Linked DNA regions of Oreochromis niloticus. The protein of the gene in region 1 interacts with the protein of each later gene in a pairwise test. Links are inferred from orthologs where the notes say so. Each region holds a gene or a part of one and is shown in the gene's direction. Other genes may lie near its edges. The genes, in order: pih1d2, spred1, eif4a2 and igf2bp3.

Region 1 (7,358 bases):
TTTTTATTTACTGCATTGAAGTTTCCCAAATTTGATGGAAACACGCGACAACATTCAAGTTAAGATAGAGAAAATTTTGAAAAATGAATCTGTTTTTTAATTAGCTGTTTTCTAATTAGCTGGATTTGCAGATAGAAATGAACAATATTTAATGACATTTTATTGCTGTCTCAGACGCTGGTCCGTTTTGGGTTCTCATTCAGATAATCTGGTAATATTAGGAAAAATCAACAACGTTTTGCTGCCCATTTTGCAGCCTGATTAAAAGATTATCTCTTTTAATCCACTTTTAGTCAAACTTTTGCTGAGGCCATCGTCCTCCCAAAGCCCAGTGGGGCTTGGGGATACAAAGGAGACATCCTTCTGCAATGTGACGGAGGATATTTCCGCATCGGACTCGCGGAAAGGTCTGTGTTTACTCCCTCGTGGTAGCGTTTCTTTCACTGTTTTATGAATTATAATGCAGCACGTTAATGCGTGGCTGCTTAGCTTATTGTATATACTTCATTATATCAGGTCATGGGTCACCTCTGAAGTGTTTCTTAATTGAATAGTAACAAAAATTAAAATTCAGCAGCTGCTACTTGTTGTCTTCTCTTCACTCCTGAGAGATGCCCATTGACCGACATGAAAACATCACACATAATGATCTGTTTCTACTGACTACATTAGCATAGATACTTGTGTTTTTCCTAATCATTTCCCACTCATAGAAGAGGCTTGATCATTAACGTTGACTGAGAGCTTGTCTCTGGAGGGATTTTCAATCAATCAGGTTCAGTGTTTTACAGAATCAGTCCTGAGAACTCCCTCCTGGAGATCCAGCTGGGGAAGCTGCCCACCTGGCTTCCAGTATGCTATGAGAGGTGGAACTCTTCGCTGGGAACACTGGTCTGCAGACAGCTGGGTTATCTGAGGTGATGCTTTTTCGCAGTCCTGCGAGGATCACACACTGCTTCTTTATAGCACCATTTAAAAAAGCTGAGAGCCCATTCTCAAACTTGGTTTAATTTTAGGCTGAAGGCTCACCTTATTTATGATCTATTAATACCTCATTTATAATCTTGCTTCACACCTCATGAGACTAAATTATCTCAATACTCGCTCCCACCCATTTTTCAAATGTTCCCTTACCAGACTGACCAAGCATAAAGGAGTGAACCTTACTGATATCGGGCCAAACTACACTGACGGCTTCATACAAATTACCTCAGAACAAAAGAGCAGCCTGGAAAATATGTGGCAGTTCAGGTAAGGCAATCTGTCAGAGGACATCACACTCATAATGGTGCAGGGAAAATTGCGTCCGCTAATACATTAATTATGCATCATTAGTTACCCAATTTATTTTCATTTAGGAGGAGTTGTATCACAGGGAAGGTTATCGCTTTGCAGTGTTTTGGTGAGCAAATTAAACTTAACTTTTAATTTGAGTTTGCGCCTCGCACAGAGGCCAGTAGTGTTTTTGTACAAAAGCTTTATATCAGAGCAGGATGAATGATGGCGTCTGCTGCTGCTCTTTCTGACCAACCCAATTTCGTTTCGTTTTGATGAATGGATCTTTAGAGTGTGGCACACGAGCAAAGCTACCCAGGATAATCGGGGGCGTGGAGGCCGCGCTGGGCAGGTGGCCCTGGCAGGTCAGCCTTTACTACAGCAACCGTCACACCTGCGGAGGCTCCATCATCACCAGTCAATGGGTAGTCACAGCTGCCCACTGTGTACACAAGTAAGACTGCTGACCTGACAAGTACTAAAGGTCAGAGGTTGCAGCCACGATGAAGGATAATAATCAGTCATTAACAGCTGTACCAGTGTAGCAGTATCAGTATCTACTCTCTCTTTTCTTTTCCCAAATGTCAGCTACAGGCTACCTCAGATATCCAGCTGGGTGGTCTATGCTGGCATTGTGACCCGCAGCTCTGCTAAAACGGCTCAGCATGCAGGCTACGCGGTGGAGAAGATCATCTACAACAAGAACTACAACCACAGGACCCACGACAGCGATATAGCACTGATGAAGCTGCGGACCCCGTTCAATTTCTCAGGTCAGTCTCATCGCAGCACTTAAAAAAAAAAAAAAAAAAAAAGTACTTTGGCTTCAGTTTACCTTTTCATATGCTAATAACAATTTATCATAAACAATATAAGTGCTATTGCTATGCTAATTTTTCTAATCATAACAAGTGATATACACTTCAAATGAAAAGGCTCCCAATATCTTTAACATCTCACAGAATCAGCTGTTAAGATTCACACATAAGCTTACAGTCTCAGCAACAATTAAAGCACCGCCTCCAGATGTTTTGAGACGTTGAAATTTATTCTCCTTCCTGGCTCCTGAGGGATCTTTGGGTCTGTCTTTGTAATTTTGTTTCTTCTTTACCTCACAACATAAGGAGCCTTGAAATGACTATTGTTTTGAATTCACATAAATAAAAATGAACCGAATTACAGATGTAGCTTCCAAAGGACAGAATACATGAATATGCAAATACTGTACAGTGTAAAAAAAACAAAACACAAAAAACCAGGCCATCATATAGAATCCAATGAGAGAGACACAGGGCTATTTTTGTACACAATGCATTTTATGTAGATTCGGTTATATTTAAGTTATTCTGTGAGTTTGTATGGCTGCTACCTTTTTGTTTGCTCTGATCTCAGTGGGAGACAACTTTCTTTATGTTGTATACAGGACCACAGTTGGCTTCTCTATCATAAAAGCTTCCTTGTTTTTCAGCTGTGATTTGATATGAGCGTAGAGACTAAAGAGAAAACAGCTTTCTCATGACAAACACTGAAGTCTAAACGTGGTAAAACACGTCTCAGTGAAGGGTGGTTTTATAACACTTCTTAACATGACTTATGAATCCAACCATATTTGCAGTACAACTTAATGTCTCTTGTAACTATTTAAATGTATTAAGAGGCAAAATTCCTCCTTTTAACTAGACACAATCAGGCCCATCTGCCTGCCTCAGTACGACTATGCCCTTCCAGGAGGAACACAGTGCTGGATTTCTGGATGGGGATACACGCAACCCGACGGGGGTAAGATGTTACTACACTGCTCTGCTCTTAAACAAATGCATCTCTGCTACAAATCTAATCCATACTCAAATGGTGACAGAGTGAGCCAAGTGTGTTAGTGGAGCAGTCCTAAATTGAAACTTTCACCCGTAGTTCATTCACCCGACACCCTGAAAGAGGCGCCAGTCCCAATAATAAGCACAAAGAAATGTAACAGCTCCTGCATGTACAATGGAGAGATCACAGCACGGATGCTATGTGCCGGCTACACAGAGGGAAAAGTGGACGCATGTCAGGTCAGAGGCTTGTTTTGACCACTAGATTTAGCTTCTCTTTTATGAGTAGCTGTAGTGAGCAGTGTTTGGGCCTACCTCTCCAGGGGGACAGTGGGGGCCCTCTGGTTTGCCAGGATGACAACGTATGGAGGCTGGTGGGGGTCGTCAGCTGGGGAACAGGGTGTGCTGAGCCCAATCATCCTGGAGTTTACACCAAAGTGGCCAAATTCTTGGGATGGATCTACGAGATGATAGAGGTAAACAGCATTTTTTAATTCTACAGTGAACAATAACTAACTATTTACAGGACAGCACAGAGGTTTAGTATCATTCGATACTTCTTTATTGAGCTCGATAGTTAAAAAATACACGCAAAACACATGATCAGCTTAATTATAATTTCATTATATATATATATTTTTAAAAAGTTAGCTCCACTTTTGCCAGTTTTAAAACATTATGTTGAGAGAAATGCATCAAAGTAAGCCTGTGAAATAGGTCATTTGTTTTTGTAGAAGTACCCTGCTGATAACAACTCTTTGAACGGAGGATATTTACATATCATGGAATACTTTTTTACAGGGATAATACTTTTACTTATCTAAAATATTACAATAAATTCTTATATCACTACACTGCAGAAAGCGCTAATTAGTTTCATCCATGCCGCTATTTGAATTTTTTCTTTTTTTGTATTTTCAGCCGGATTGAGATGGAAACTGTAAAACAGAACAGCGATTTCTAATATTAATTCTTTCCTTATTTTTGCAGAATTACTGAGGAGGGCTCATGACAACAAAAGGAAGGAAGCTTCTGATGAAACTGGTGGAAACGTTAGAAAACTACAGTTATACATGATACTTTTTATTTTACGTGTCAGTTATATAATGTACACATAAAGACAGACTGAAAACATCAACATGCATTTTTACGTTATGTTTTTCATGTATTGAAAATAAATTATGCTTCTTATTGTCATGTGTGGTTTCTGAGCCGCAGTTCCGCATCTCACCGCCTGGTGGCAACAGTGTTACGTTTCATATAGTTTCTATGGCAACTGACAACATTGGCCTAGCTAGTGTTAGCGATTACAACTAATGAGCTACAGAACGTAATTAGTTGTTTTGTTTTGTTTTGGTTTGGTTTTTTTAAATATTTGTGTGATACTGCTCCATATTTGTCGGATATTTAAGGTGTTTCTATAACACATGCTCCTCTATGACACTGCTGACCGGCTGGTTTTCTGACGCACAAACTTTTTCTGCTAACTAGCTAGAGTTGGTAATAAAAGTACGACAGTTACCTTAACATGTGCTCCACTGGCAGTACAGAGGATGTTTTGCAGCAGATGAGCAAACTGTGGTCCATGCTGGATGATCTCTCTGAAAATGACCCTGCAGCCTACCGTACGCTTATAGAGAAACAGTTGAAGGAAGGAGCTGAATTCAGAGCACCGCCCGAGCTGGACTCCTGCCTCTGCACTGAAATACTGGTGAGTTTCATTCGTGAAGGCTCCTTCCTGTGTAGGCCCCACTCCATACAGGTGTTACTCAGCACATTCTTTGGTTCAGCTAGAAAGGAAGCCCACCTTTATTCCTCCAAAACATAAATAAATATATACTCTAAATTCAAACACAAATTAGGGAAAGTTAACTTTAATAGCAGAAAATTTAGGATACAGCTCAGTACCCATCATCAAAAAAATTTTTTTTTTTTTAAATGATTCAGTGTCTCAGGTCCTGTCATTGGTACAAGGAATTACATTACAGAAGAATTTGGATTGGGAACAGCACTTACTCTGCAAAAGGCTCACCCAAGTAATGCAGGCATCTGATGGTGGAGGAGAGGGACTGCCAGGAATCGACTCAATGTGCAACAGCAGTCCTCTAACCTTAACAAGGCTGCTGAATGATGTGGGAAGGCATAAAACGAAGAAAAATCAAATGTAGTGAGCTATGGAATATGAAAACAAAACAGCCCACATATGATGTTCTGCTCACTCCAGCAGTGTGTCCCTTGTATGCAACCCTCAAACACATCCGGGTGGGCTGCAAAAGCAGTCTAACACATGGAGGATATAGTTGGTGACATAACCAACTAACTTGTCTGTAGCTATTAGTCAGGAGAGTATAGACTAACTGCAACTCATTAGAAGTTAAAGCCACCTTTCTGCAACAAACAACCTTCATCTGGGAAGGTGAGAAACAGCATGTCAAGCCCTATCTTCCTGAAATATACCTTTACACTTGAAATCAACCTGCACCCAGGTCTGGTTCTCTGGTCCAGTTCCTGCCAGTCTGTCTTCACTGTAGAACTGATTGTCCCTTGGGAGGATGCAATCAATAAGGCATATGACAAGAAGAAAGCATGAGCAAGCTGAGAGAGAGGACCAAGGCTGGAAAGTGGAGGTCCATTCAGTGGAAGTGGGCTGTAGGGGCTTCGCAGCCAGCTCCACAGTAAGACTGACGAAGGAAGTAGGCATCAGGAAGGGCAGCCTAATACAAGTTAATCAAAAAGCTTGCCACTGTTGCCAAAAGAAAGTAGTCACAGGGGCTGGCTGAAGCAGAAGGAGACAGTGTGGCCTGCCAAATTACTGGTGGGTGCCATGTGAAATACACCCAGGTCTGATCAGCCTGTGGTGGGTCTGCTTTGGCTAAGGGCATCTTGTGAGAAATTATGGAAATGCACTATGAAGCTGGGGTACAAAGCTGATGATGTGTCGCGCTGATGGATACATACCCATATGGTCAGCAGCAAACACCCCATCTAGATGGCTTCTCCAACCCACTCAGTTCTGTGTTATACTGACAGGGATTATAACTTCTAGCCCTATTAATTAGTATAGTCCATTACAAGCTGTGAAAGCTTTGTCATCACATTTCTTGTTTTTATCCAACCAAGAGTAAAGTAATAACCTAAAAATATTTCTGCTGAGGAGCTGTAAGCTGTGCTTGCTTTATATATCCTAAAATACACAGGCTGCATGAGAAACACAGACTTTTACTTCACTCTGCAAAGATGCTAGACTTTTATCCACTTAGAACTTTGAAATTGAGTTTGTTTTGACAGATCCTTTTGATAGCACTGTGTTTCTGTGACAGAAACCAAAGAAAGGCCTGCTGTACATCAACATATGCAGCTGGAAATGTGTGCCTGCGCCTCAGGATCCCAGCAGGCTTTTACCAGTGTACACTGGAAAACTGGAAACAGGCACAAATGAAGATCAAGGTGTGTCAAGCTGCAGACCTGCCATTTGTATTACATGACACAAGCAAGAAAGTCATACTTTTTCCTTTACAGGCTGGTATACTGTGCTGGATGTGGCATTAAATCCTGTGTTGCTGCAGGAAAGTAGGGAGAACAAAGCAGAGATTAACCAGGTCTATATGCTGGCCCTGAGCTTTGCCCAGAAGCAGCTTGGGATGACGTTATCGCAGGAGTACAGAGTTGTCAACAGTAGCCCAAATAGTAGCCCAGATGAGTTGCACCGCCGGCTTGGATTTCAGAAGTTGTCCAGTGCCCCCAAACAACCCGACACAGGTAATGCAATAAGTCTGTCAACCCTGACAAGCTTTGATAAGCACTTTATGTTGAACCCGTGCTCTTTACCCACTCTCCTTTCACCTCCTAAAACAATTTTCCTGATAATCCATAGTCCTTTTTTTTTTTTTTTTTTTTTTTTTTTTACAGCTGGTCAGACACCAGCTGCCCTCCTGCAGCACATCTCCTCCCTACAATCAGAAAACCAAGAGGACTCTGCTCCTCAAATTATCTGTAGGCCTGCAGAGAAAATAAAGAAGGATTTGATCCAGGTCATCTCAGCCGCTTCTGTGGGGCCTCAGAAGCCAGAGTATCGACTCGAGGTGAAGACTGATGCAGCAGGAGTTCCTGACAGCGTGGAACTGATGGTGGAGCTGCCAATGGTTTGCTCCATGTCAGAGTGCCAGCTGAGCGTGTCCAAGGTTAGTGGTTACACACTCCCTTGAACAGTTATAACGAAGCACTTTAGAATCCAGTGTGTGTCAGTGTGTAGCTGGATGTCATAAGAAA
Region 2 (6,959 bases), on another chromosome or scaffold:
TGTCTGGTAATTTTATAATTTTTGCTTACATCGAATTATCACATTCTTTTCACATTACAAGATACATCAGACGCTTCAAGTAAATAAAGATTCATGCTGCAGAGTCACTGAAAAATAAAGGAACATGACTTAACGCCAGTCACATCAGACTGCGGTATTTTAAATCATTTCACTCATCAGCTTAGATCTGATGAATGAGGATTGTATCGGGCTAAAAATATCATCCATTCGGTGGTTCCTTGTTGGCAATGCAGGAATGTTATATCTCCCTTGAAGAATATTGTGATGAGTTTGATTGCATTTAGTGAATAAAGTCAAGGAGGGATGCTTCTATCAGCTAAACTTCCTGTTGGCTGGTTTAAATATGCTACGTTGTGTGGTATGTTCAGTGTGAAAAACACAGGAAATGGACTAGGGTCATCCACATTTGTGAGATGAGAAAGAAGGCTGACTTCCTGAACTCTAAATACTCTAAAGGATAAAGGCATGCTAGTAGGAAAAATAAATCATGTTCATTGTTCTTTTCTGCTCTTTTTGAATCAAGGGACACTTCGTTTGGACCTGATCATGGTAACTTAATCAGAAATAAGTGAAGAGGCCATGTTAAATAAAACAAAGATGCAGTATCCTAACCTGATTACCCCGTTTATAATACAGACTGCTTGTATAAACATTCATGTCAGCTTGAAATCATTATTTTTTTGAGAAAACAATCCCAAGAGAGCTTTTGCTCTCAGGCAGTCTGTTTTGGATTCATGGTCATTTTTATACATAAAATCCTTCATTTTCAGAGGCTCACTGGACAATTGACTGACAAGCAGTTTCGTGACAAAGAGAAGCCTATTCCACAAATTAGGCAGATAAAAGAGTTGATTCCGAATTTTGAACTAGAATTTCATAGCTTTTCACATGACATTTTATATGAGGTTCAAAGACATGCCCATGCAAGTGAATGAGGCCAACACAAGGCGTAAAAACGACAAAATAAACCAACTGGAGAGATAGCAAAAACGTTGGGAGTAATCAGATTGATAATTGGAACAATATGTAAAAGAATACATTGGCCAATAGACCTGGAAGATCACAGAATTCATTTCTAGGTTAAGAGAAACCTCTTCAAAACATCTACAAAAGTTAAGCAACCTCAAGAATGTGCCACATAGTCTAAAATCAAAAGGAGTCTTCATGGATGTAAGTAGGTTTATAACAAGGTGCAAACCACTTGTTGGTTACACTCAAGAACAGCACAGCCAAATTAGACTTTGATAGAAAACGTTTAAACAAGACTGCCCAGCTCTGATGCAACCAAAATTAACTTCTGCCAGAATGATGGTGAAAAAATGAAATAGCTCATGAAGTTTGTCACGTCATCTATCAAACATGGCGGAGGCAATGTTATACCATGGACATGTATGGCTGCTCACTGAATCTGATTAGTAGTGTTTATTGACGATATGACTGCTGAAAGAAGTAGAAGGAAGAACTCTGAAGTGTATAGGGGTATACTCTGATCAGGCGGTATTTCATGGTATAAATAGATAATGACCCAAAACATGCTGCAAAAGCAGTCTTTCCAGGCAAAGAAATGGGATATTCCTTAGTGGCCAAGTCAGTCACCTGATCTCAGCCCAATAGGGCATAATTTTAGTTACTGAAGACAAAACTGAAGGTGGCTGCATTAAAAGCCTGGCAGAACATCTCAAGGGAAGAAACACAGGATTTGATGTCCGTGGGTTCTACAGTCTAATTCTACAGGATTTCAATTCAAGTATTAAAAACAATCCTTGTATCCCAGGTTCTCTTTACTTCTTCCCACAGTTCAATGAGATACATGGATTAGATTAACGGGTAAATCTAAATTAGACATAGTTAACTATTCATGTGAACATGAATACTTAACTGTCTCTCTGGTGTTAGCCTTGTCAAATATTACACGCTCCCAAATTGGATAAGCAGAAGAAAGTAGATGAATGGATGGATATTTAAATTTTTGTCAGCTAGTCCAATGACTTTTAGGCCTTTTAAACCAATCAGCTAAGTGAAGAGAAACGATAGTCCGGAAAATTGCAAAAACTTTAAATTTGTCCCCCAAGTGCAGTCGCAAAAACCATTGCTATGACAAAACTGGCTCACATGAGGACCGCCCCAGGAAAGGAAGCCCGAGTGTCACCACTGCTGCTGAGGATAAATTCATTCGAGTCACCAGCCTCAGAAATTGCCAATTAACAGTACCTCTGATTAGAGCCCAGATAAATGCCACACGGAGTTCCAGTAGCAGACACATCTTTACATCAACTGTTCAGAGGAACAGTTAAACCCATTCTCCCACTGGGTTTAAATCTGGGACTCTCGGCCATTTGACCTTAGAACTGAAGAAGCTTCTTGGATGAGAGGTGAAACGTCTTCAAGCAACTTAAAGAAGTCCAGACGCTTTTCTTTGCAAACTCCTTTGACTACGATGACCTGGATGACTGAGAACCTTCACAGACATGTTCAGAGGAGACTGCGCAAATCAGGCCTTAATGGTCAAATAGCTGCTAAAAAACCACTACTAAGGAAAAGCAACGAGCAGAAGAGATTTGTTTGGGCCAAGAAACACAAGGAATGGACATTAGACCAGTGGAAATCTGTGCTTTGGGCTGATAAGTCCAAATTTGAGATCTTTGGTTCTACCTGCCGTGCCTTTGTGTGACGCAGAAAAGGTGAACGGATGATCTCTACATGCATGGTTCCCACCGTGAAGCATGGAGGAGGAGGTGTGATCGGGATTTATTCAAAATGAAGGCATACTGAACCAGCACGGCTACCACAGCATCCTGCAGTGGGATGGACCGCAGAATGAACGCAAAAGGGCCAACAAATACTCAGCATCTCTGGGAACTCCTTCAAGACTGTTGGAAAACCATTTCAGGTGACGACCTCATGTAGCTCATCAAAAGAATGCCAAGATTGTCCAAAGCAGTAATCAAAGCAAAGGGTGGCTATTTTGACAAATCTAAAACAAAATTTGAGTTATTTCAATTTTTTTGGTTTACTACATAATTCCATATGCGTTCATTCATAGTCTGGATGTCTTCAGTGAGAATCTACAAAGTAAACAGTCATGAAAATAAAGAAAAACCATTAAATGAGAAGGTGCGTCCAAACTTTTGACTGGTAGTGTATGTACAGTGACACAGAGGGACGTTTCATATGGCCCTCAGCATAATACTGTAGCACAAGCTGTATGAAAGCCAGAGAAATACAAAGAAACTTCTCACACAACATGTTGTCACTATGACAACCAGGCAGAATCATTTAGCCTGATCTCTTGCCTTTTCCACACAGCACAGAAATCCAATAGCATTTAAGTCTTATGCAACCAGGCTGCCGATTTGCTCTGAAAGGCTTTTAACACATTTGCAACTAAGATTCATAGAAGCACACATGGATTTTTCTGGCAACTTCTTAGACTGTTTTATTCTGGAGGGAGCTTTAGCTGCCTGGTACAGTTTTAGAAGCACGACTTTGAGCCACATGCAGTTGTTTTAGTCCCCTACTCTCTAGTGATCACCCCTTTTTGTAGCTTATAGTGTAATCCTAATGCCTGTATTTTATTTACATTTACGGCCAATTACAGTTCTCAAAAATCCCACACCATGCCCTACTCAGATTTTTGTTTCTACATTCCAGAGAAAAAAAAAATCCTCATTTTCTGAATTGCCGCTTTACAGTCTTTCACTTTTCACTCTGCTATCACTGAATAATAAATAACCCTGGCCTACGCTCAGCGATAGAAATACCATCTTGATTTGAAACACATAAATCGTGAAGAGGGTCTGATATAATTCCACGTGCTGCAGCACTCTCGGTTGTGTACATTTGCAGCACTTCCCCACTATTTTGCATTAGGATTTTAAAAGCGGTTCGGAGGGGAGGTAGATCACGATAATACAACTGAAAAAAGAATATACCAGAAATTGTTAATGACCAAGTCTCCGTGTCAGCTCAGGTCCTTCCTCTAGATTATTTTCTAGCCTACTTTGCGTGCTATCACACAGACGCTTCCCTCTTGTTTCAATGCGTGATTGAAGGGAAACTTCTTTTGGGAAGTGGGGGGACTACTTTAGGTCAACTTTAGAAAGAAATCTTACTAACTTATTGCATACGCTTACGGGGGAACGCGGTTTAGTATAATATACGCTACTCTTTAAGCATACAGAGCAAAGTGTGTGCTGGGTTGGTATTTTTTCTATCACAAGTGTTATGTTTTTACTACGTCGCGGAAGGATCCTTTTTTCAAGCGAGGGTCGACATATCCGCCCATTTTTCCGATGTTTCATTCCCCCCCGAGTTGAAAATGGAGTTCGATTAAAGCAGATGTCCATCAAGTTCTCAAGGAAATTTCAAGTCTATGTGTTTTTACTTTAACTGTCGGTGCTAATACTGAAAACAGTCGGACCATTTTGGGGGGCATTGGATGCCTTTACTGAAAATTACTCGGACACGTTGACGGAGCAACGCTGCACAGCTCTTTTTCAAGTGTTGTCCTGGACCTGAAGTTGGCGAATGGATGCTCGACAGCCAGCCATAAATAACCTGCCAAACGATACAACCTACAACGGTTTCTACATTTTTTGAGGATCTATGCACATTTTTGCAAGCCGGGGATTTGTGTCAGTTGAAGAGGATGGTCCAGATGGCCCATTTGTTGTGGTCGGATTTTACTTCCAGGGAGGATAAAATGAATCAACGATTGTCATTCCTCCTCGCGATTTAACGTTAGAGCCCAGCCAGCAAAAGCTAACGTCCAGCTAGCTTCACTTGCTTTTCATAGGGACGCTGAGTTAGGCATGCCCCTTGTACGCCGTTTATTTACTATCCGAAATAGGGGTTATTTCTGTATGTGAAGGAAAATGGTGATATATGTGGTATTTTATCCCGCCGTCACTGCGTCGTCGATGCTATTGCTAGGATTTGGATCCCCGTGAGGAAAAAAATGAGTGAAGATTCAACAAATCCAAACAACGAGTGAGTCCTGTTTTACACACACTTTATTTTAATATTATTATTATTATTTTATCATTTACATCCAAACACACAGCTAATCTTCAATATGTGCTTATATATGTAGATATTAACACACCGAGCATCGAGCTACGTTAGTTCCCGGTGACATTTCTAACCGAGCAACGTTGCCATTTCATCGTCTTGTTTTACTAATATCAACAATAAGAAACACGTTGTACTTTCCCCCCCTGTTTGTTTGTTTATCAAGCTAATAGAAAGGATTGCCTTGTGAGATTAAACAGAACCGTGCCGGGGAAACGGTGGCATCGATCCGTAGTAAAATATTAATCTCGTTGCTACTTTTTTGTAGGCTTATGATACTGCTAACCAGTATATGCTGTGAGAATTCACATTAAAGCCACAACATTTGAGGTGTACTAATCTTTGCTTATTTTGCTTGCTTGGTGTATTATTATATGTTCGGGAAATGTATTAATTCACGAAGGATCGTTCGGAGCAGACGCATAGGTGACAGTAATCTAAATATAATTTTATGTGAGTGCTTGCTCGGTACATCACGATCAGAGTCCTCTGCATTGACAGCCCCGATCTGTGTCTAACTGCTGTCCGCCATGATTTCGGAACATAATCATCGATTAAAATATTGCGGATTGTGTTTGTCTTTAAGTCTAGCCTTTCTTTAATGAAGGCTCTTCGCGGTTAATGCGGCAATGTCGGCATTGAAAAGCCGAAGATGCCATTTTTTTTTCTCAATCATGCTCATTTACATATCACAATCCTCCATTCATAAAAACGCTTAAAAAACGGCATCGCATTCACGCCCAGAGCCTCACAACCTACGGACATCGATTATGATCTGTGCATGCTGTGTTTTTGTACACGTCGCGCCCATTTCAGCTCGCATTTTGGTATTGTTTTAATGGGCTGATCCCTTGTGTGCGCTTGTTGACAGTCAGTGAGAAATATCTGCTTCGGGAGGTGCTGCGGTCACATGATCCCCTCCATTCATAAAGTACCTGCCTGCCCATTCACAGCACTGTACACTGTTTCGCATTGCACCGACGGTCACACAGTGATCACATATTCTGCATTCGCGGTACAATACGTCGCATATAGGCGCCTGTGCTCGTTTTTCTAGTCGTTTATTTTACATGTTTTTTCTTAACCATGTCGACGTGATTTTTCTTTCACAATTCATTTGTCACAGAGGAAGTCATATGCCCTTTTCAGCCATTTACAGTGTCACTGTTTAATGTCTGAAACACACCCATGTTTTTTTTTGTTGTTGTTGTTGTTGTTGTTTTGTTTCCCCCATTCAATCTTTCTGGCCTTTGTGAGGCTGATTGATTTAATGCATGGAGGTTTTGTCCTTGAACTACACTGTTTTGTTTTTATGTAACATATGTCATGGATTTATTTATTTTTCCTCATGTCAAAGCACAGGAGCTCACATATGAATTCATCCCAGGCTATATTTGCTATAAACCTTGATTCAGCTTGAATTGTGTGAATTGGTGAAACCTCCTCATCTCCTAAATTTGATGCGACTCCCTTCAATAATCTCGGGAACTCATCCACACCCCAGATCCCCAATTTTTGAGAACTACTGCCACAGGCTAAAAAATAAAAATCCTCAGTTCCACACAGCATGATGGCAGCAGCTAAAATGGCGAAGTGATCCAAACATTGTTGCTAAGATTTCACCACCTTTCCTCTTGTATGATTCATAGTAATGGAGTGAACGGAATACTGAGCGCTGCCTGAGCCATTTATTTTTGCTGAAAAGCGTCTGTTTAATGAAATATTTTTCATGAGACATCTATTGACTAAATTAAAAAAAAAAAGATTTGGTGTGCCACATTTTTTAAGAGTCAAGGATAATCATTCCCCCCCCCCCCCCCCCCCCCAATAGTAGTCTTCACCATATTACATTGTGAAATTGAGCCACT
Region 3 (6,928 bases), on another chromosome or scaffold:
ACTGAATGGAGTGAGAAACTTTATATTTTGCTTATAGGCAATGCAAATAGGCCAGGTGAATAAAGACCTGATGTCTCTGCAAAGATTAATTTATAAAGTTGAATTAACAGGGATGTAGCACAATGCAAATGTAAAAGAAGTGCACTGCTGATTTAACTTTGTGTTAAGTTTTGGTACAGCGTTTTTGTTCTTTCTCTGAGGCGCACTAAATTCAGGTGACTAAGGAGGACCTAATTTATTTTGATACAAAAGTTGTGTCCACGCGAAGATATGAAGGCGGTGTCTGTATGTGGCACTGCAATAAAAACAATTCTGTAATTGAAAAAATGATAAATAATCGTTATCTCAGTACTGAACGAAATAATCGTGCCGCTCTTCAATAACCACAAAGGGAAGGCTAGCTGTTAGCTACAGTGAACTCTGGCGAAACACATCTAAATCACAGTAAGAGGGAACTAGCAGCGACATGCTATGCTGATTGGAGTCACCGACTTCCAGAGTACTGACTGGCGGTTTCTTAGTCTTAATATCAGTACTACTGATAAAGTTACGCATTCCACACGATAACGATCTAAAAGTTGTGTCATTTTGTGTGTTTAAATGATAGCAATCGTAGTTAGCTCACTGTGCTTGTTGGTTAGCCCCACTGTGAGCTACTTAGCTAACGCTAAAGGAGAGGGGGCTGTTTGTTTTCATTATTTCAGGCGAATTTAAGGTATTAAAAGCAGTTTTAAGACTATGATATGAATCCGAAGAGATGTGTTTTTATACGTTTATGCGAATGGCTACATGTTATATTTGCCACTTCAAACAAGAATAAAAAAAAAAGAGTAATTTCGTACCATGTTTGTCACTGCCGGGCTACTCTTCCTCCCATCCAGCTGGCTTACTGCCCGTAAAGTTTTTACAAGTCGCGTAAAAAGTTTTTCCGGTGGAATCACAGCTCTTCAAAATAAGAGCATACAATTTATAGCATATAACCTATACAACTTCCCAAATTGTTAATTATCGATTTCTTTTGTTCCTTATCAAACATACAACACATATCTAAAGAAATGTAAGCAAAACAAATTTAAAGTTCGCTCTACGTTTTGAAATAGCAACAAGTGTTTTTTTTTATTTTGAAACAAGCTATCGGAAACGACTCGACGATTCATCCAAAGAACCTCGTTCTTCAATGTCCGACATACAAACAAGTCTCTGGATGTTTACAGTTGTTCTGCGAAGATTTCAGAACAAATGGAAGTCCTACCGACACAGGTTTGTGCCTTGGGTAGTCTTCAACCTGTCTAAAAATGAGAAAACACTGCGGAATGTGACTGAGCGCTCGAAAGACAAGCTAGTCCCCGATGAGGAGGTTTCGCGGAGCCTGCTGACGCTCTTCAGAGCCCTGTTCAGGAGTCATGGGTTTCATCAGAGGCAGTTCCAGACTCCGTTTATGCCGCAGCTAACAAGTGAAGCAGAGCAGGTTGGAGGAGATCCGGTGTGCGGACAGGATGCCATGTTACAGACACTGGGATTCTGCATTGAGCGGAAACCTAGCACTTTACCATTCGCAGGAAGCGGAGTCTTTGTCACCAAGGGATTTGTACCCAAAGGAGCAACAGTTGCAATGTATCCCGGCACTGTTTACCAACCCTATGAGCCCATTCTCCTTCAGTCTATCAGAAACCCCTTTGTATTCAGATGCATTGATGGCATCCTGGTTGATGGAAATGACAAAGGCATCTCTAGGATGGTGTTCAAGTCGTGCAGTGGAAGAGACAGAATAGGTCCTTTCTTGACCAGCGACACAAGCTGGCTGACAGACACTCCCCAAAACCCCCTGGCTGTGGGTCAGTATGTGAACAACTGCTCTGACGAGAGGCCTGCCAACGTGTGCTACCAGGAGTACGACGTGCCAGACAAGTTTCCCATTGAGCTCCACCAGTATCTCCCTAACGTCAACTACAGCCAGGGTACACAGAGGCGTCTGCGGTGTGTTGTGCTAGTGTCTCTCAGGGACATTTCAGCAGGGGAGGAACTCTTCTCTAACTACTACACCATTGTGCATTAATATAGTTTCCGAAAGCCTGCATTGGTGACATTCAAACATATCTCCACTTTATTTAATTAAAGGAAAAAAAAAAGGAAAAATCAAACCGCTCCCTTTGGAAAAAAGGCAAAGCTTTTTTTTGTTGTACGATGTATTGTGTTGTTGGCTGTTTTAACTGAGCAACTGTGGATGAATAAAGTATTTGTAATCTTATTTGATGTGTGTACCACAACCTTTTCATGGTTGTTAAGACAGTAATTTCATTTGATATTAAGTATATGAATTATGGTAGCCTACTTACTCATGGTTTTTGTAGTTATAGCAGAAAAGAAAGAATGAAGTGTCCCTCTTATTGGCCGAGGCAAAAATCATCACAAGGTCATGTTTAAGAGTGGTGCGCTGATACTGCTGGATGGTCCATAGAGTTGCTCAAATGTTTTAGCTGAAAGCTTTAACTGTTAACTGTCCATGGAGTTTAAATAATTAAAATATTTCCTATTGAAATGCACTGAAATAGAGCATAGAGATAACAGAACTACTTGTGCAATCCAATTTCAATTCAGTTTTATTTACATAGTGCTAAATCCCAAAAACAGTAAGGTTAAAACTCTACAGTCATAGAGAGAAAATCCCAACAATCACAGAAGAGGGGGGCTGAAAGCTGAAGGCTCTGCCTCCTATTCTACTTTTAAATATTCTAGGAACCACAAGACTGAGAGCAAAGTGCTCTGTTAGGGTGATATGAGGTCTTTAAGATAAGATTGGACCTGATTATTCAATATCTTGTATGTGAGGAGAGGGATATTAAGTGTGAGTCTACATTTAACAGGTAGCCAAAGCTAATATGGGAGAAATATGCTCTTTCTTTTTTGTATCAATACAAACACGACTACCTGAGATCAGAGAAAAGCTGCCCATTAAAACAGCTTTGCTGTAGGGGAAGGCTTAAATATACAGAATCTAGATTTGTTTTTTAAAGTAAACAGGGATATTATATCCAGTCACATGAGTGTGCTTCATAATTGATTATTATTGTGATGCTTCTCTCATACTTAGAGAATAATCTTCTGAATATGTATAATAATAATCTCATAATAATCTAGTTAACTCTGCTCTGGTCTAAACCAGAGTAGAGTCCAAAGTCTTCCAAGTAAATCAGGAACTTCTCCAAGAAGGTGAAACTGGTAAAGTAGAGAGATGACACAGGGAGAAATGCGTTGTGTTAGCTCAGCTAAACTGGGTACTTTATCAAAGTCCTGAGAAGCAAATCTCACCACTCTGACTCAGTGGATACTAACTTAAGCATTATCTAACTTAACTTTCATCTCAAAGGTCACCAGGAGATAAAAATTGCATGTATGGAATCTCCAGTCAAATCTGATTTTTTTTTAAATTAAGGTTTGTTAACTTTTACCCCCAAATAAGTACAACCATCTTTGCTGTCGCTATTCTCCAATATGCTTTTTCACAAGTCTTTAACTCTACACAAAACTGATCAGTATGGAACAGTGTGTCAAAGACACAGAAACTGCAGCATTGTCCCTTTTTGTCTCTATGCCAATTAAAAGTTGTTTAATAATCACACTGGGACAGCAAAGCCTCGGTTAGCTCTATGTGGTATTACACTTCATTTTATTTCTTGAACCCCGCCTGCATGGGCCTTACGCAAACCTTCTCTCCAAAAATGTTGCACAACCTTTTCAGAGCGAGTTTTGACCTATTAGAGACACGGTAGTGAGCCCGAGCACCCACTATTACTGCAATATCCTTCCGCCGAGGAATATAGTCTGGAACAATTTTAATGTTTTATTGTTTATCTAAAGACACATTTGAACACAACAAGTACTGTGTTAAATAAAAGGTGATTCAAACATTAAGTCAGTCAACTAATACTTTATTATCAGTCAAACTGGGTACTGAGTTTGTCGGTGAAAATAGTCCGGCTCCATAAATGCAGTTGTATTCTCGAGCAGCGATCTTTCCACTCGCATGCTGAAGTTGGGAACGGATCATGTCTAGCGATTCTGCTGATTACAACAGGTAACAGGAGACATTTGGTCGTGTTTTTTCAAAACGACACTGGATAGTTATCTGCGCTTAACCTTGCGAAAGTAGTTTGCAGTTGGTGTTATACAAACTTAGTTATTAAGTAGTTAACTAGGCCCTAACCGCTGTTGAGGTGATCTGTTGCTAACTGTTAGCTATGTGACGCTAGCCGCTCCGTTACACACCGTAGTTCCAAACTGCTGTTAAAAGCATTCTGGTTTAAATGTTTAATATTTGGCCATGTCTAACGTAAAGCACGCCGGGACTTTGTAGTGATAAGTAAAACTCATTTTTACGGTCGTAGCTGGGGATTACCCAAATTGAGAGCCGTCGGACCAGGCTGTATGTAGGCCTCAGTAGAAGGCACCGTTGGCAGTACAGGCCCAACTGGCCGACATATTGGCTAATGGTGAGCGAAGCAGAGCTCCATGTTGAGGTACATCCAGCGTGTACAGATGTAATTTTAATCTCGAGGACCACAGTGGGTGTGAGGAGCCAGCCTCAAACCTTTACAGGTTACGTAAGCGGCCATTTTATTAAGGACTTGCAGTTGAGCCCGGCTCGTGCAATTTGACACGTGCGCTCAGTGAACCTCCAGACTGTGAAACTACATCCCCGGGGCGTTACCCAGACTACGATTGACTATCTCACTACATATCTAACGTAATTTCTGTGTTTTAGTTTCTCACCGTGAGCGCGAAATAGGCGGTCTTATTGTTGGAGATGAGTGGGCAGCATACCTTCATATTAAGTGACGCCTCGAAGAAACTATCGCTGTAGCATGCGTTCAGTTTAATTTTTAAGGGCACATTTTATGTGAAAATTGAAGTGTCTCATTTTCAACAGCTCAAGAGATAGAGACCATGGGGGGCCAGATGGAATGGAGCCTGATGGTGTCATCGAGGTAAGTACTAAGGCGAAATATAAACTGGCGCTATATTTTTGGCTGTAAATTGATCAGTAAAGTACTAACTCATCCATGTGCTGTTTTCCCCAATTCAGAGCAACTGGAATGAGATTACGGACAACTTTGACGATATGAACCTGAAGGAGACTCTTCTCAGGGGCATATACGCATATGGTTTTGAAAAACCATCTGCCATTCAACAGAGGGCCATCATCCCTTGCATCAAAGGTACAGATACCTTTCTTTTTAAACTCAGAATAGGATTGTAGATGTTTGAGTGAAATGATGGTCTACCATCTTTCGGGACTTACCCAAGACATGGGGATAACTTTGTTTCATGCTGATCACTCAATACTGTGAAATGGTTACTTGATGAGTTAAATCTTGCAAAGGATGACTTTTGTTGTTTAGCCTGTCTGCATGTTTCTGTTTTGAGAAACAAATATATGGACTTAAAATAATTTTTTCCCCTTACTGTCAGGCTATGATGTCATTGCTCAAGCCCAGTCTGGAACTGGCAAGACAGCCACATTTGCCATCTCTATCTTGCAGCAGTTGGATATTGAGCAGAAGGAGACTCAGGCTCTGGTTTTGGCTCCCACTAGAGAGCTGGCTCAGCAGGTATGCTGTTCCTGAGGTCACCATAAACCTCAGCAGTACCTCAGACCTAAGCAGCGTACTGAGGACACTAATTCAGATCATAAGGTACAATCTTTTAAAGATTTGTTCAAATTCCAAAAGATTTGACGAGTATCTTCAGCTAATGTAGTCTCTGTCCGTGGCTACATTGGTCTGAAAGGTGAAATGCTTTCGAATTTTTCTGTGAAAAACTGAGTGATGTGATGGCATACCATCTTTCGGGACTGACTCTTGAAATGGAGAGTTTCTTTTACTCTACTGATCACTTTAAACAGTTTTTCTGCAGTCTGGAGTTTGCAAGTCTTGCCTGGTTCTCTGTGCCACATTATCTTAAACACGTTCTTCTTTCCCTCTGTCCCATCTCCCCCTCTTAGATCCAGAAGGTAATTCTGGCTTTGGGTGACTACATGGGGGCAACCTGCCATGCCTGCATTGGAGGGACCAATCTCCGTAGTGAAATACAGAAGCTCCAGGCCGAGGCCCCTCACATAGTGGTGGGCACACCCGGACGTGTGTACGACATGCTGAACAGGAAACACCTGTGTAAGTATTACAGGTCCTGCTTACTGGAAGCTTGGGTTGGTGATATGTTTGCTAACAAACATGACATTTCTCTGCAGCTCCAAAATGGATCAAGATGTTTGTTCTGGATGAAGCCGATGAGATGTTGAGTCGCGGGTTCAAGGATCAGATCTATGAGATCTTCCAGAAACTGAGCACAAACATTCAAGTAAGAGACTGACGCACACCAGAGAACAAATAAGATGCCCTTCCGCATCAACAGAGGTCTGCTATAATTGTGTGATCCAGATTTTCTGTTTCATGCAATGATGCTAGCAGATTTTTACGTGGAAGGAGATTATTGTGCACTTGACTGAAAATGAGATGTGGTCGAACCTCTTTCTTAATGTTCGTTGGCTGCAATCTCAAGGTGAAGTGCCACAATTGGCATTGGCCTCTAATACGCTGTACCAAATTTTACGCAGATTTTTGGGAGGTGGTGGTGTAACATGTAATGCTGCTTCTTCAGGTGGTCCTGCTCTCAGCCACCATGCCAGCAGATGTGTTGGAGGTGACTAAGAAGTTCATGCGAGATCCTGTTCGCATCTTGGTGAAGAAAGAAGAGCTTACCCTTGAGGGTATCAAGCAGTTCTACATTAATGTGGAGCGAGAGGTTGGTAACATTTCTGCACATTACGGTTTTAGGATAATCCTGTACCACTGTGAATGTTTTAATTTCCCTTCTCTCTAAAGCACCCTGCTAAAACTGCAGGAGCCAAGCCTCACAGGTTTAGCTCATG
Region 4 (7,735 bases), on another chromosome or scaffold:
AAGTGGCAATCCACGCACTAATTAAAACGTTAATTATTATCTTTAACATTTAAAAGCTAGATGGTTGAAGAAAATGTCCATAAACTATTTGTGTTTTTTTAAACACTTAAATTAATGAACAAAAATATTCAAAGTCACAGATGATCATCACAGCACTTTATTTTAAATATTCAATATCCACATGCTTTTAAATCACACCTGCATTTCTAATCAGAGGAAACGGACAACTGACTCTGCTTAAGATTCAGCAAATCACGCACTTTCTCGCACAACAAACACAAACCCAGTGCAAAATTGCAAAGTGTTAAAACTCCAAAGAACAGCAAATCATGTTTCCATCTTCTTTCAGAAAACAAGTCATTGAAGAAATTGATTGCTTTTTGGGGGGGTTGGCGTTAAGGGAGGAATTTTTCTCAACACGTATCACACTGTAACTAATCAATCAAGGTGCTGAAACCAGTAAACAACAGCTGCCAGAGGGGAAGGTTTCCTATAAGAGAGACAAAGCCACATGCTAAAGCATGGCCGTTCAGTATAGCTGCAATGTATACCAAAGTCTGCAAATGTTCATGTGACTCTGCGTGAAAACTTTTCATCCTTCATCAACATGTGCTGCTAACCTACACAAAGGCTCCACAACAATAGACCAAAAAAAAAATGCAGTCAGCTCCAGATAACATAAAACACAAAACTCAACAAATGTTTATGACGTCAAAGTGCATTTTTGTTAATTGGGTGTTAAATTTTTAAAAAGAGAGGAAAAAAAGAAGAAGAAATAAGAATTTGTAATTACAGCTGCTACAGACGCCATGCTTTGTGGGGTGTTCACTAAGCTCAGAATATAACCAAATGATCAGCTACTTGGTAAATATTTTAATTACAAAAATAGATAAATTAATAAAGGAACAGTTGCTGCCAACTGAAACCAAACAATCGTGTGACGGCAGCTACGTTTGGTTGCTTTTTAAACCTCCCCTCCTTTTCCAGCAAAAAAAAAACAAAGGGATGATTATTTCATTTAAAACATCAGCATATATAAGCAGTCCTATCATCTACTGATGGCATAGGAAGAAGAAACTTTTCCACACAAATTCCCAGGATTTAAGTTGTGTCTGGGGGGTGAAAAGGGTGTATAAGACGAGAAAGCGAGAAAAAAGCTAGGGCAGATTCTTTACTGGGATTATTCGTCTTTTTAAAAAAACATAACAGAGATATTATCTGGAATATTTGCTATTTTGCCAGCAGGCTATGGCTATCCCCATTTAACTGCTACAAGAAATATTCCTTGGCATGTGCTTTAGGGGGGCACAAACCGCCATTTTCTAATGAGATGAAGGGTGTCATCTCAAAGCAGAATCTGTGGAATAAACATGCCCTTTTTTAAGGGTTTTTTGGAGCCTGCATGAAAGCACTTGATGACAATAGAAAACACATGTATGGAGCAGAAAAATGAAAAAAATAAAAACGCAGTTGCATTAACGTCGTTAAGGACATTGTTTGCTTTTAGTTAATGATACTGTAAGGCTCTAGATTCTTCTCAACATGGCGTTCACCACAGTCTTCCCTGACTCTTGTCCGAAGCGGTCAGCAACTGGATTAAATGGTTAAAACTCACGTGGAACGACAATGTTGTTAAAGATGCGAATCGCCTCGCAACAAATAAATAAATAAATAAAAACATAATAAAGCAATCTCACCGGAAAACAGAATCCTTGATTCTCTGTAGCCTAAATAGGATTGTGAAAGAGCCTTGCGCTTGGCGACGTAGACTATATCTTGGAGCGAGGCCAGCAGCTCAAAGTTGGGCTATAAGCTCTCTCTTTAAAAAAAAAAACCTAAACAATCTCCCTCCCTTCTTTCCCTCCTTGACTTTCCCTCTAGAAATATCCTAGACTATGTTTAAACAGATCGATTTTGTCAGTTCTTTTCCTACACCGACATTAACCGCAGAAAATCTTCCCACATAGGATGCAGTCTAGTCTGAAACTTTATGTCAGTTTTGCCCCCTATGGAATTTGTCCATAGCGAGGAGCCCTGAAGCTGGGGGCGGGGAGACTTTCTGTACATTCCTCAGCGATACATTCACTACTCCTCTTGCAGAGCCTGCAGCCACACACACACACACAGACACACACACACACGCGGGCTGCAGCCATGCATCGGCTCATTTAAACCGACAGAGACTGGAGAGCAACTTAACATGACTGCTGTCTCTATACGTTCAGCCTGTGAGACTACCAGCTCGGAGACACTGCCCAGCTGGCAGAGCTGGCATTCACACAGAGCCCCATCCGTGTGCGTTTCGTTATTTCACGAGGAGTGGAAATGGTTAACGACTAATAAACGGGGTTTTAAAAAATTGTATGAGCTTAACTAGGCCGACGGAAAGCGCCCTGGTTTTAAATAACCCTCATATAGATCCATACAGGAGAAAGACTACAGAGATCTAAGCACTCACTAATAAGTTAATAAGAAACTTTTCGGGGAGCAGGTCTTGTAACAAATTATGAAACGATTAAAAGTCGATAGAAAGTTGCTCTAAAGTTGAATTTTAAACCCTATTTCACGCCTTTATCACTTAACCTATTTAAGGGTTGCCCTATAAATCCAAATACAACATAAAGTTCTCGGAAAGTTTTAAAGAGGGTATTTTTTTAAACGCAAAGCGCTTCGGATTTAATCACTGGCGTGTTTCGTTACATCTTCATGCTTCAAGCCATGACAAAAGCCAAACTGGGCAAACATGGGGAGAAATGCATGATTGGCGCGCTGATTCATATAGAATAGTCGAGCCGGGGAGCCAATGAATGAGCGCGTTGAGGCCGAGCCAGCAGGAGTAGTACGGAGCAGGTTTGCGGCTCTCCGATTGGACAGCCTTCTCGACCAATCAGACAGCTCGGTGTGTTTGTTCAGCAGCAGAGGAGTAGACCCACCGAGACAGCAATGGCCCCGGTCTGTGAGCCAGTGGCTGAAGGGCCAACACTCCCTTTGTAACCTGCTTTACATGAACACGCACACCTTGGCCTGTTCATTAGCAGACGCTTCAGAGACACGGTGCTATCACCTCAGCTCCAGAGAAAAGCTTTTGTTCCCTTCTTTTTTGTAATGCCACTTGCAGGGCTGCAGAGACGACTACACCCACTCACGTTTCTAACTCTTTCTTAAAATACTTTTCAAAACAAGATGGCCACAAGTCAAACATGGGCTTACAATGAGTTAAAATAAAAGAATAAGATTAAAAAAAACCATGCATTTAAAGGAGAATGAGATGAAAGTTACTGCTATTATGTAACTTTTTTGTAGTTGACATTGTTGCTCTCTGGCTACTTCTAACTAACCCGTCACGCCGATTCATCTAACACAATTTTATGAATGAAAGCGTGCCCTCCTGTATCCCCACACACGATCCTGAAAAGAAAATAGATCCATGCAGCACATATCTAAAGTATACTGTGTCACGTCTCCTGAACACGTGATGAAGTTTAAGCCTCGCTTTAAAGGTGCTGGGTTTAAAGCTGAACTTTAACATTATAATGCAGACAGATGCATTTGGGTGCCAGCTTGTTTGGTGCATAAATCTGAAACTAATGCTATAAAATGAATGCTAAAAGTTTTCTACTAGCTCTTCTCTCAAACTGCTTTAAAGGGGCACGGATTCAATTTTATGGTCATTTTGGCAGCCACTGCGGCTGAATTATGCTCTCCGTATATTGCAGTAACGTTCAGGAACACTGCAAACTATAGCCTGCACAAAGGCAGAATTTATTGTGGTACTTGACTGTACATGTGCTTATAAATTTACGCTTTGGGGGATCATTAGTGTTTTGAAACTTTGTGCCCTGACAATATATCATCTTATTGACATCGCCAGGCATTGATTAATCTGCCAATTAGTCCTGTGTATGCAGAAATGACCTGTGGAGCGACCCGTTCGTAAACTGTCGACCTCTGCCTATGGTTTACAAAAGATCTTACAGACAGTTGTGTAATGTTTTAAGACACGTATTCCACACGTGATTGAACTGGGCTTTGCTTTACATAGTACGCTAGGGGCACATTGGTGTGGGAGACCCCTCCCTCTTTCAGTAAATTCAAATCCATGCTGGGGTATAGCAGAGAGGATTCGCCATGTGTGATTCGCTCCACATGGCCAACGCTTCGTAGTTGTGCCAAACAGCCCAAAAGACGACAAAACAAATGGCGTGGCAGCACTCATTTCGCCCAAAGATACCCTCTCGACGTGACCAAGAGCAAATGGGGCCTGCTGTTGGACTTTGAGTTGTGGATCAGAGAGGGCATGACTCCACTCTTTGCAGAAGATGGATACCGTCATGGAGAGTAGTAGCCTACGTGTCATTCCCACAATGCGTGAGGGCCCAAGGAGTTTCACAGGACCTTTCCCCACTCCCCACTCAAAATACGTACAACTGAATGCGCTCTATATGCAATTTAACAATATGGTGTCAAAAAAAAAATCATTTATGAGTGTCCCCACCCCCTTTTCCATCCGCTATGTCGCCAATGCAGCGCACTTAGCACAGCCGTGCGCACAAGCCCCCGCAATATCAGCGTCTCCCTGCTATGGGCGTGCGTGCGCGCACCGCCGTTTTTACTATTCCTCATTCGACCAATGAGAGTCGAGGCTGTGCAGAGAAAGGCACACGAGTGTGATTCTAGTAAAGATACACTAGTTTCTCACGGAATCCCTTTACGCACAAAGCTCGCCAGGTTTTTTCCCAACACCAATCCACTCTTCCCCTCCTTTTTTTCTTCACTCCCCTTTGCTGTCCCCACCCCAGATTCCCGTGCAATTTTCCCCAATCCCAAACACTTAATTGAGCAATTGGGATTCCTCACGTGTGGGCTGATTTGTAGTTTGAACACGTGGCTCATTCAAAAAAGCCGGAATAGCTGAGGATTTTTTTTTTCTCTCCCCCCTTCTTCTTCTTCTTATTCTAGGCTCTAGACTTAGAGGCGGGCGCCAGCCTTACCGTGTGTGACATTCTCTGTCTCTTTGCCAAGGGGTTTGGAGGAAGACACAAAGTAGTTTCTCCTCCTTTTCACCCAGCCCGCCATCGTTCGGAGACACGAGATTAATAATTGAGCATTTATTTATTGCGCGATAGAGACAGAGGGGCGAGGGAGCGCAAACGCACTGTGAGGCTGCCAGTTTAAATCTATCTGTGGCTTGAACGACCGGGAAGCACGCCACAGCCACTCCGTAGTAGTAAAGGCGATTTAGGCTACTCCAAACACTGCACATCCGCGAGAGCAAATAACTATCTCTCCCTCAGCGTAAAGATTGTCCCTTTCGGCGCAGAACATGAATAAGCTATACATTGGCAACGTAAGCGCAGAGGCGAGCGAGGAGGACTTCGAAACTATCTTTGAGCAGTGGAAGATTCCGCACAGTGGTCCATTTCTTGTCAAAACTGGCTATGCGTTTGTGGATTGCCCGGACGAGAAGGCAGCAATGAAGGCCATCGATGTTCTTTCAGGTGAGATAATCTGGGGCAAAAAGGTGCCATTAGGAAATTCTCCCAAACTGCTGCAATTGTGTGAAGATTGCCTTACTTCTGGTGGTGGGGGGGGGGACCCTATGAGAAATGCATGTAGTCCTGTAGGGTGGGGGTGTATCCAAGCGTTTCTTTCTCTCACACAACCTTTACTTGGCCTTTTGACACCGTGGGGCTCACACAAATGGCTTCCCCCAGGTTTGAGTTAAATTCTGCCCTTGTAATTTGACTGAGTGTAGCTTGGTAAAATGCTAGAGTAAACACAATCCTCAGTGTAAGCAATGCACGTTATGTGCCGTTCAGGGCAGCGAGCGGGGCTGTGGAAGCCGTGAAGTGAACCCTTATTGTGAGCTCTATCACACAGCCCCAGCTTGGCACGATTGAAGAGTAATGTGTCGCCGCTTTCACCAGTTTCTACTGGAACTTGCACTCTTCTCCAGGTTTCAAAATACAGGCCTTCTCCAACAGCCTCCACTCGCTACACTGTGAAGCCATTTCGTCCATGCTGACACACCAGGTGGTTTAATTGTGTTGGCCAAATGTAGGCCAACTAACTCAGGCAGGCACACCACATTTAGCCTTTTTTGTACATTAATCACCCCAACCCTTCACGGCTTGTTGTCTAATTTCAAGTTAAGCATGCACCTACAGAACACGTAACAGCTGAGCTAAACTCGTTCACTATTTTACGAATAGTGCTAATGTCAGGCTCATTTGTCCTCGTGCTACCAGTGGCTCACACACTTTGAACAATTTGTGCTCCTATGCGAGAAATATCCAGCTCGCAGTCATGCCTATGTGTGCTTCTCTGGATTTTTAGTGGTAAACATTAACTCCTGTTTTCTCAGCAGTATGCAGGCCTACACGAGAGGTCATGTGGTTAATGAAATTAACGTTGCTGTGTTTTGATAATCTAAATTTCTCTTTTCTTTTTAAGGTAAAGTTGAACTTCACGGAAAAGTTCTTGAAGTGGAGCACTCGGTCCCTAAACGTCAAAGGTACGTGGGTTTTTTATTAAATAGTGCTTGGTTAAACTCGTAGAAGCCCCACATATATTTTTAAATCAGTCACCCTCTCTTCCTCGTCTTTTTTTTTTTTTACTTTGACCTCGTGTGTGTGTGTGTGTGTGTGCGCGAGAGAGTGTGTTTTAATAATGCTGCATGTGTGTTTGTTGCCAAGCGTTACATATTTATTTTAGTTAAAATACGTACGCCCATCATTTTCCCCCCCTTATTTTTTCCCTGAATGCTCTTTGGGGTCAAATAAAAGGGGCGTATGGCGGTCTATTCCTTCCTCTCGCCATGACTGAGGGAGTGCTCCCAAAACCGTCGTGCATTTGAGTTAAACCATCTCATGGCTGTCTTCTCCTCGCTTGCTCCATTCACTCTTGTGTTTTTTAGTGTATACGTGCAGTTCTTGGCGATATTAAAGCGCAAAGCTCAGGGCGAGTACTAAAGCCCCGAGTGTGCAGGCTGAAATGTGTGCTGAGTGAGTGCAGGCTGGATTTGAGGCGTACAGGCCTTGTGAAGTCGTCCATTTGAGAAGGATCTGCCCGTCATTCTCCCTTGCTTGCCCTGCGCTTCCGCCCTCTTCAGCACATTGTGCTGCTGTTGCATGAGATGGACTCCAAACGCGAGTGGAATGGGAGGTTTGGGACCCAAGTCACGAAAACCCTTGGTTTCAGAGTTAGACGCCCGTAGACACACTGGGCGGTTCGGTGTATGATTTCCAAAGGTGCACAATATATTTTTTTGTGTGGTCCTCGGAATATGTGCAGTGGACTTAAACATAGGGGCGATTTTTGACATGGTGTGCGTATTTTTATATTATTTGGTGGCGATGCTGTTTGGTGAAAAATAAGCATTTTCTTGAATTAAATTGCTTTTGCTTGATGATGGTTGCGGCAATTTCTGACTAGTATTGCAGGTTTGCATTGTTTGTTCTCAACGTTTAACTGTGATCTGCTCTTATGTAAAGAAATGGGTCACACTTGAAATCACAAAGTCCTGCTGGAACACGTAGGCATTAAAAAAAAAAAAAAAAAAAAACTGCTCCCCGTAACTTGTATGTATTTAAAAAAGCATTTTGGTTATAAAATGGAGCAAACGCAGAATTCGCGAGACCTTTACATGAAATGTATTTTCCACGTGGACATCATAGAAGCATTTCCTGGTGGGCTGTTGGTCTAAATTGTAGCTTGGTTAAATAAACCAGGTGTA

What was found.
Region 2: the proteins of pih1d2 (region 1) and spred1 interact in binary tests that used the Homo sapiens proteins (3 or more experiments, as listed by UniProt). The link is inferred for Oreochromis niloticus from reciprocal best matches to the Homo sapiens genes PIH1D2 and SPRED1.
Region 3: the proteins of pih1d2 (region 1) and eif4a2 interact in binary tests that used the Homo sapiens proteins (3 or more experiments, as listed by UniProt). The two-hybrid records come from large-scale screens. The link is inferred for Oreochromis niloticus from reciprocal best matches to the Homo sapiens genes PIH1D2 and EIF4A2.
Region 4: the proteins of pih1d2 (region 1) and igf2bp3 interact in a two-hybrid assay, tested with the Homo sapiens proteins (2 studies listed by BioGRID and IntAct). The two-hybrid records come from large-scale screens. The link is inferred for Oreochromis niloticus from reciprocal best matches to the Homo sapiens genes PIH1D2 and IGF2BP3.

Annotation. Positions count from the first base shown.
Region 1 is NC_031979.2:26,671,731-26,679,088, forward strand, and holds the start of pih1d2 (PIH1 domain-containing protein 2), read left to right. Parts: upstream 1-4,352; 5' UTR 4,353-4,617; coding exon 4,618-4,800; intron 4,801-6,409; coding exon 6,410-6,536; intron 6,537-6,608; coding exon 6,609-6,848; intron 6,849-6,998; coding exon 6,999-7,270; intron 7,271-7,358. Other genes in the region: tmprss5 (transmembrane protease serine 5), read left to right, coding at 294-407, 776-917, 1,138-1,251, 1,359-1,402, 1,567-1,729, 1,864-2,048, 2,956-3,054, 3,187-3,329 and 2 more.
Region 2 is NC_031983.2:16,022,480-16,029,438, reverse strand, and holds the start of spred1 (sprouty-related, EVH1 domain-containing protein 1), read left to right. Parts: upstream 1-3,952; 5' UTR 3,953-4,978; coding exon 4,979-5,010; intron 5,011-6,959. UniProt on the Homo sapiens protein: Tyrosine kinase substrate that inhibits growth-factor-mediated activation of MAP kinase. Negatively regulates hematopoiesis of bone marrow.
Region 3 is NC_031982.2:10,206,572-10,213,499, reverse strand, and holds the start of eif4a2 (eukaryotic initiation factor 4A-II), read left to right. Parts: upstream 1-3,921; 5' UTR 3,922-4,046; coding exon 4,047-4,075; intron 4,076-4,927; coding exon 4,928-4,985; intron 4,986-5,083; coding exon 5,084-5,216; intron 5,217-5,263; exon of another isoform or gene 5,264-5,338; intron 5,339-5,469; coding exon 5,470-5,609; intron 5,610-5,820; exon of another isoform or gene 5,821-5,895; intron 5,896-6,001; coding exon 6,002-6,170; intron 6,171-6,247; coding exon 6,248-6,357; intron 6,358-6,394; exon of another isoform or gene 6,395-6,574; intron 6,575-6,657; coding exon 6,658-6,801; intron 6,802-6,866; exon of another isoform or gene 6,867-6,928. Other genes in the region: dcun1d1 (DCN1-like protein 1), read right to left, coding at 843-845; setd9 (SET domain-containing protein 9), read left to right, coding at 1,178-2,056. UniProt on the Homo sapiens protein: ATP-dependent RNA helicase which is a subunit of the eIF4F complex involved in cap recognition and is required for mRNA binding to ribosome.
Region 4 is NC_031985.2:24,856,268-24,864,002, forward strand, and holds the start of igf2bp3 (insulin-like growth factor 2 mRNA-binding protein 3), read left to right. Parts: upstream 1-4,729; 5' UTR 4,730-5,323; coding exon 5,324-5,498; intron 5,499-6,213; exon of another isoform or gene 6,214-6,280; coding exon of another isoform or gene 6,281-6,338; intron 6,339-6,453; coding exon 6,454-6,514; intron 6,515-7,735. UniProt on the Homo sapiens protein: RNA-binding factor that may recruit target transcripts to cytoplasmic protein-RNA complexes (mRNPs). This transcript 'caging' into mRNPs allows mRNA transport and transient storage.